Linked DNA regions of Saccharomyces cerevisiae S288C. Changing the gene in region 1 together with any one later gene gives a genetic interaction. Each region holds a gene or a part of one and is shown in the gene's direction. Other genes may lie near its edges.

Region 1 (3,748 bases):
GAGTCGTTCGGCCATTCGTTCGTTTTCACCATCATCTGTAAGGTTCAATTTCTCTTTAATAACATTTGACAACATTAGCTGCGTGTCCATCTCTCCTGAGTCAGTTTTTGCAGCAGAAGCCCCATCAAGATAGAGAAATTTGTTGAGGTCCCGTGCTGCTCTATAGGTAAGCATTTTTTGTGAACCTCGATCTTTTTCGTCTGGTGGTGGTGGTGGTGGTGGCCCTTTTGGATGATCACCATGGGTGCCATTGCCGAACCTCCCATGCCTTCTTTCCAAAGATTTTCTCCCATAGGATGGTGACCTCAAGCCGAAAGAGTAGCTGAATTCGTGGTCCATAGCCAGCCATTCGAAGGTAGTTGGCACTTTTGATCCGGCATGGTACATTAAAGTTCCTTTGGGAATTACAGCGGGAAAATAAGATACTCCGACAGGATGTATATCCGATGGAGACTGTCTTAAAGCAGCTCGAATGGAATTAAAGATAGCCGTGCTGTTATCAAAATCAATGTCTCTGACAAACTCATGGTAATTATCCCATCGTATAGAAGGTGTGTCTGTGATTTTGGTTGCAGGTTGCTTGTGTGGTAGGGCAGTTGACACTATGCCATAAGATTCAGATAATTTCCAACAGAAACCAAGCAGCACAATGAGCAGTACGCCTACGGTGGCTGCGGTACCTTGACGGTGGAATCTCATTATTTATGTAAACAATTATAAATGGGCTCTTCGAGAACTGAGGCCATAGAATTTTTTTTTTTTATGAATTTTTTTTATCATCCTAATACTTTTTGTCTTTTAAGAGTGAAGAGCCGCAAGTTTCTTTTTTTTTTTATTTTGTTTTTAATTTTTTTCTTGGCATAGAATTTTTACACCCCGATCTTTTTTTTACATACGTAGTTCATTGCCGCTGATTACTGCATCGTCTCGCTTTGCCCGGAGAACGGTTGTTAACTTGTGTTTAATGTGGTGTAAAGACAATGTCAATGCAAGTGACATGAACACTGTAATACATCACATTGGTAAACAAAGCTTGAATCGTGAACCTTTCTCTAAAAATTTCGATAATATGCATAAAGGTTCTTGAAGCTCCCCTTGTTCAAGTGGTTTATTTTTCTATAGATATTTACACTCCGCAAGTGCAAAAAAAAAGCATTATCGCTAACGATCAAGAGGAACTGAGACCTTATTAGTTGTCTTTGTTGGCGTAACATAAATTTCTTAGGAAAAGAGAAAATTATCTCGAAGGCAAAAATAAACCAAGCCTCGAGTTTAATGGTTTTCTAAAAAACACTTTAAAAACAGATCGCCATAAAAGGAGAAGCTCCGTAGGAGACCGTTTTCGAAACCTATGTAGAAATAAAGGGAAAGCTCCAACGGTTTGGATAAATCTTTAGAAGCATAGAGTTTATACAACATTCAGTACGAAATGTACTCTCGAAACGTTCTCTTTTCACGGTGCTTAGTAGCAGAAAAAAGTGTCGGAAATTACCTATTTTGTCACCACTCGAGGATAGGCTTGAAAGAGAGTTTTAACCCCAACTTTTCTATTTTGCACTTGTTTGGCTATGGTTTAAAACATTCTGTTTGGACCAACAGCCCAAGCGGCTTATCCCTTTTCTTTTTTTCCCTTATAATCGGGAATTTCCTTACTAGGAAGGCACCGATACTAGAACTCCGAATGAAAAAGACATGCCAGTAATAAAACTATTTTGATGTTATGCGGAATATACTATTCTTGGATTATTCACTGTTAACTAAAAGTTGGAGAAATCACTCTGCACTGTCAATCATTGAAAAAAAGAACATATAAAAGGGCACAAAATTGAGTCTTTTTTAATGAGTTCTTGCTGAGGAAAGTTTAGTTAATATATCATTTACGTAAAATATGCATATTCTTGTATTGTGCTTTTTTTATTCATTTTAAGCAGGAACAATTTACAAGTATTGCAACGCTAATCAAATCAAAATAACAGCTGAAAATTAATATGTCGAAGGGAAAGGTTTTGCTGGTTCTTTACGAAGGTGGTAAGCATGCTGAAGAGCAGGAAAAGTTATTGGGGTGTATTGAAAATGAACTTGGTATCAGAAATTTCATTGAAGAACAGGGATACGAGTTGGTTACTACCATTGACAAGGACCCTGAGCCAACCTCAACGGTAGACAGGGAGTTGAAAGACGCTGAAATTGTCATTACTACGCCCTTTTTCCCCGCCTACATCTCGAGAAACAGGATTGCAGAAGCTCCTAACCTGAAGCTCTGTGTAACCGCTGGCGTCGGTTCAGACCATGTCGATTTAGAAGCTGCAAATGAACGGAAAATCACGGTCACCGAAGTTACTGGTTCTAACGTCGTTTCTGTCGCAGAGCACGTTATGGCCACAATTTTGGTTTTGATAAGAAACTATAATGGTGGTCATCAACAAGCAATTAATGGTGAGTGGGATATTGCCGGCGTGGCTAAAAATGAGTATGATCTGGAAGACAAAATAATTTCAACGGTAGGTGCCGGTAGAATTGGATATAGGGTTCTGGAAAGATTGGTCGCATTTAATCCGAAGAAGTTACTGTACTACGACTACCAGGAACTACCTGCGGAAGCAATCAATAGATTGAACGAGGCCAGCAAGCTTTTCAATGGCAGAGGTGATATTGTTCAGAGAGTAGAGAAATTGGAGGATATGGTTGCTCAGTCAGATGTTGTTACCATCAACTGTCCATTGCACAAGGACTCAAGGGGTTTATTCAATAAAAAGCTTATTTCCCACATGAAAGATGGTGCATACTTGGTGAATACCGCTAGAGGTGCTATTTGTGTCGCAGAAGATGTTGCCGAGGCAGTCAAGTCTGGTAAATTGGCTGGCTATGGTGGTGATGTCTGGGATAAGCAACCAGCACCAAAAGACCATCCCTGGAGGACTATGGACAATAAGGACCACGTGGGAAACGCAATGACTGTTCATATCAGTGGCACATCTCTGGATGCTCAAAAGAGGTACGCTCAGGGAGTAAAGAACATCCTAAATAGTTACTTTTCCAAAAAGTTTGATTACCGTCCACAGGATATTATTGTGCAGAATGGTTCTTATGCCACCAGAGCTTATGGACAGAAGAAATAAGAGTGATTATGAGTATTTGTGAGCAGAAGTTTTCCGGTCTCCTTTTGTTCTTGTTTTGGCGTATTCTCCACTATTCGTCCATAGCACATTTATACCTTAGCTAAATATTTTGTAAAGCAAAATTTTCGTTATCTCTTAAAAAATAGAAGAGCGGTTTATTAATATCAAATAATTGAAACTGCTGATATGGTAGCTATATACAAAATCTGCTGTCAAAATTTGGCAGTAAACGATCTTCACGGTAGCGGTTCAAATAAAGAGGAAAAGTCTTTCTCCCTTACTGTTTTTCTGGAATTTGGCTCGTCGTTAATAACAGAACTAAAGATACAGTAAAAGGAGAGATCGCAATCAACTTCATTAATTGTAACAGTAGCATAATCACAACTGATCATCTACACTATAAACAGTTTTTATTTCTAATTATGGGCGCCTGGCCGGCTCAAACATTGTGCTTTTAAGACTCCAAAAGTATCTGCTGCAGAAAAGAGCCATATAATGTTAAGTGTTCAGGGATAGGTTATCGCTTACTACTTCAAACGTTTCGAAGGAAAGCCAGGGAAGCCTATATCTGATTCCCTGTTTCATAATCCAATGCAGCCACTAGCTTATAATTATTTGAACTATTTGTC
Region 2 (4,087 bases), on another chromosome or scaffold:
TAACTATGAGGATGCTTCTAACCAAGCTAGGGTCGAAATGAATAACAGGGTACATGGCTCAAATATGAACACAATTAACAAATATTATCCAGTACGATTCCCAAAGAATAACGAAAGGCAATTGAGCGACACAAATAATTTAAATGAGAAAGTGCAAGGCACACATACAGTTCAATCATCCACCCAGGAAGACAAAATACTCGACGGTGACACAAGCAACTCACAAGTAACCCCGTCTTTGAACATTGCAGAGTTTCCCACAGACAAGCTTCTTAAAATGCTGACAGCGTTACTAACTAAAATTATTAAGTCAAATGATAGGACGGCAGCGACAAATCCTAGTTTGACACAAGAGATTGAGAATGGTAGGTGTCTTGCTTTAAGTGACAATGAAAAGAAATACTTAAGCCCCGTTCTGGGGTTTAGAGGGAAGCACGTACCACAAATTGGTCTTGACCAATATTTCCAGAGGATCCAGAAATATTGCCCCACAACGAATGATGTATTTTTATCGCTCCTCGTGTACTTTGATAGAATATCCAAGAGATGCAATAGTGTCACTACGACCCCTAAAACTAATACTGCAAAACATGAATCTCCCTCAAATGAAAGCTCTCTAGATAAAGCTAACAGGGGCGCTGACAAAATGTCCGCATGTAACAGTAACGAAAATAATGAAAATGACGATTCAGATGATGAAAATACAGGAGTTCAAAGGGATTCAAGGGCTCATCCTCAAATGTTCGTAATGGATTCACATAATATTCACAGATTAATCATAGCAGGTATTACTGTCAGTACGAAGTTTCTGAGCGATTTCTTCTATAGCAATTCAAGATACTCAAGGGTAGGTGGGATATCTTTACAAGAACTCAACCATTTGGAACTGCAGTTTCTAGTTTTGTGTGATTTTGAACTTTTGATATCAGTCAATGAATTGCAGAGATACGCGGACTTACTATACAGGTTTTGGAACAACGCAAAAGCTCAATCGCAAGCACTAGTTACGGGCATGTAGAAATGCGTAATATGCAAGTAGATATATTTACATACACAGTTTCTCTCAAAGGTAGTAATTATCTTATGTGTTAACGTACGGTTGCTAAGAAATAAGCATGGTAACTTTCTTAGGTAATTCTTTGGTATTAAGATATATTCTGAATTACGGTTTGGACTACTTTATTGTTCAGAGATAAGAAACATGTTGAGCAGCACTTTATGGTGTTGCTATATTCCCGTTCAAATACAACAGCAACAAAAAATGCTTATCCCTCATCAAATTGAACAGAAAAAAAAAAACCATATTATTTTATTCAAGCTTATCGCATGATAGACTGTATATGGAGCAGTCAAAATTGACTGCTAACTGAGTTTTCATTTTGGAAATCTTATCATTTTGCGTTCACCGATTCTAACTTATTTTCATCACGAATACGAGAAGGGCAAAGGTGCCGGCGTCATTATGTGACGGAAAGAAAAATTCGATAAGGCCTTTTTTTTTTCACTCATCGTATTGCCAAGCAATTTTAGTCAGAAGTAACACGTATATATATAAGGGCGTAGACGTCCCTCTTAACAGATACTCTGTAGTCCGTGCTAACGTAAACACAGCATTAAAAGTGCTTGTTACTTCACTATTATTAGCATTGAGGCGCGTGTGCTCGGAAAACCTACCATATTATAAAAGGGCTAACAAATATGCCTCAAACGCACGAAATGTCCCTGAACGGCACTCAATACTTAAAATATGAACTTAAAGACCTTGAGTCTCGAGCTCACGATGCAAAGACTCCTTCAACAAATGAATTCTATGATGATGTAGAATCGCACGGAACAGAAGAATTAGTTGAAGCTAAACTGTCGTTTTTGAACAGAATTGCTGCTGGTTTAAGTGCCGAGACAAAGGGTATTGAACCGATTACAGAAGATGAAAAAACTGATGATTCTATACTGAACGCTGCATCTATGTGGTTTTCAGCAAATATGGTTCTGCCTGCTTATGCCATTGGCGCCCTAGGGCCTATGGTGTTTGATCTAAATTTCGGCCAAAGCGTTTTCGTTATTATTTTCTTTAACCTCTTAGGCTTGGTATCAGTTGCTTTCTTTTCTGTTTTCGGTGCAGAGCTGGGCCTAAGACAGATGATTTTGTCTAGATATTTAGTTGGCAATATCGCAGCCAGGATCTTCTCTTTCATCAATTTTATTGCCTGTATCGGTTGGGGTATCGTTAATACCGTAGCAAGCTCGCAAGTCCTGAATATGGTTAACCCCGGTCATCAATGTCCTCTCTGGGCTGGTTGTATAGTTATTATCGGTGCTACTGTAATTGTAACTTTTTTCGGCTATGGAGTCATTCATGCTTACGAGAAATGGGCGTGGGTACCAAATTTTGCCGTTTTTTTGGTAATAATTGCTCGTTTGGCAAGGTCTAAAAAATTTGTCCTTGGGGAGTGGACATCTGGTCCTACTACAGCAGGTAACGTGCTTTCATTTGGATCAACAGTTTATGGGTTTGCTGCAGGCTGGACAACATATGCGGCTGACTATACCGTTTATATGCCAAGGAAAACGAACAAGTATAAAATTTTTTTCTCGCTTGTAGTTGGGTTAGCAACACCATTATATTTTACTATGATACTTGGTGCAGCTGTAGCAATGGCAGCTATCGGCGATCCAGCCTGGAAGACGTATTATGACGAAAATTCCATAGGTGGTTTAACTTTTGCCGTTCTTGTCCCTAATTCTGTTCACGGATTCGGTCAGTTCTGTTGCGTGTTATTGTCTCTGTCCACTATCGCTAATAATGTTCCCAACATGTATACTATTGCTTTATCGGTGCAAGCCACGTGGGAACCTCTTGCGAAAGTCCCAAGAGTTATTTGGACTTTATTAGGCAATGCGGCCGCACTGGGTATTGCCATTCCTGCCTGCTACTATTTTTCTACCTTCATGAATTACTTCATGGATTCCATAGGTTATTATTTGGCTATTTATATTGCCATTGCATGTTCAGAGCATTTTATTTATAGGCGTTCCTTCAGTGCTTACAATGTTGATGATTGGGATAGTTGGGAACGTCTACCTATCGGCATTGCAGGTACTGCTGCCTTAATTGTTGGTGCCTTTGGCGTAGCGTTGGGTATGTGCCAAACTTATTGGGTTGGCGAGATCAGCCGTTTGATCGGAGACTACGGTGGTGATATTGGATTCGAGTTAGGACTAAGTTGGGCATTTATAGTTTACAACATTGCTAGACCCTTTGAGCTCAAGTACTTTGGTCGTTAACGAAAGTTCATTTAAATGTTTCGCTATTTTAGTCTTTGTAATGTAACATAAATGGCTCTAGTATGCAAATCATTAAAAAATAGCATGTATGTTAATTAAATTATCACGGCTCATTCATTTGAGTTGATAACGCAATTCTGATAAGCATATCACGTGACTGTGGTTCTAAGAGTTACTCCGATCGCCAGTAAATACTTTATGAGACGTTGCATTATTTCTGTTTAGTTGATAAATTTTGATTTCTAGTCTGTTGAAAGCCTAATGCATGCAGATGACATAAATGTAGTCTGTTTTTGCACTGGTGATTTGTAAACCAGACAAATATATAACATGATAACCAAATTGTTTGTTATAAGATACGCTTGTCAGATTGAAATGGAGGGTGTTTCAGAAGGTGACTAAAATATCGAAGAAAAGTATGCCAGAAAAGTTAGCCATGTCAATGGTCGATATAAAAGATGCGGGGAGTGAACTAAGGGACCTCGAATCTGGAGCTCTGGACACAAAATCTTCCGCCGCTGATGTATACTATGAGGGTGTAGAATTGCATAGAACCAACGAATTCATTGATAATAAGCCGTCCTTTTTCAATAGGATTGCAGCTGCTTTAAATGCTGAGACGAAAGGTATTGAACCAGTTACAGAAGATGAAAAAAATGATGACTCGATACTCAATGCCGCCACTATATGGTTTTCAGCTAATATGGTGATTGTAGCCTATTCCGTAGGTGCCTTGGGTCCTCTAGTATTTGGCCTAAATTTCGGCCAAAGTGTTTTAGTTATCATTTTTTTCAATATTTTG

Evidence for each region.
Region 2: mutations in FDH1 (region 1) and FCY21 together harm fitness less than expected from each alone (positive genetic interaction), as found in Saccharomyces cerevisiae (one large-scale study listed by BioGRID).

The regions. Positions count from the first base shown.
Region 1 is NC_001147.6:1,071,164-1,074,911, reverse strand, and holds FDH1 (formate dehydrogenase (NAD+)), read left to right. Parts: upstream 1-1,988; coding exon 1,989-3,119; downstream 3,120-3,748. Other genes in the region: YOR389W (uncharacterized protein), read right to left, coding at 1-699. UniProt on the Saccharomyces cerevisiae protein: Catalyzes the NAD(+)-dependent oxidation of formate to carbon dioxide. Formate oxidation is the final step in the methanol oxidation pathway in methylotrophic microorganisms.
Region 2 is NC_001137.3:272,869-276,955, forward strand, and holds FCY21 (purine-cytosine permease), read left to right. Parts: upstream 1-1,698; coding exon 1,699-3,285; downstream 3,286-4,087. Other genes in the region: PCL6 (Pcl6p), read left to right, coding at 1-1,018; FCY22 (purine-cytosine permease), read left to right, coding at 3,704-4,087. UniProt on the Saccharomyces cerevisiae protein: Probable purine-cytosine permease.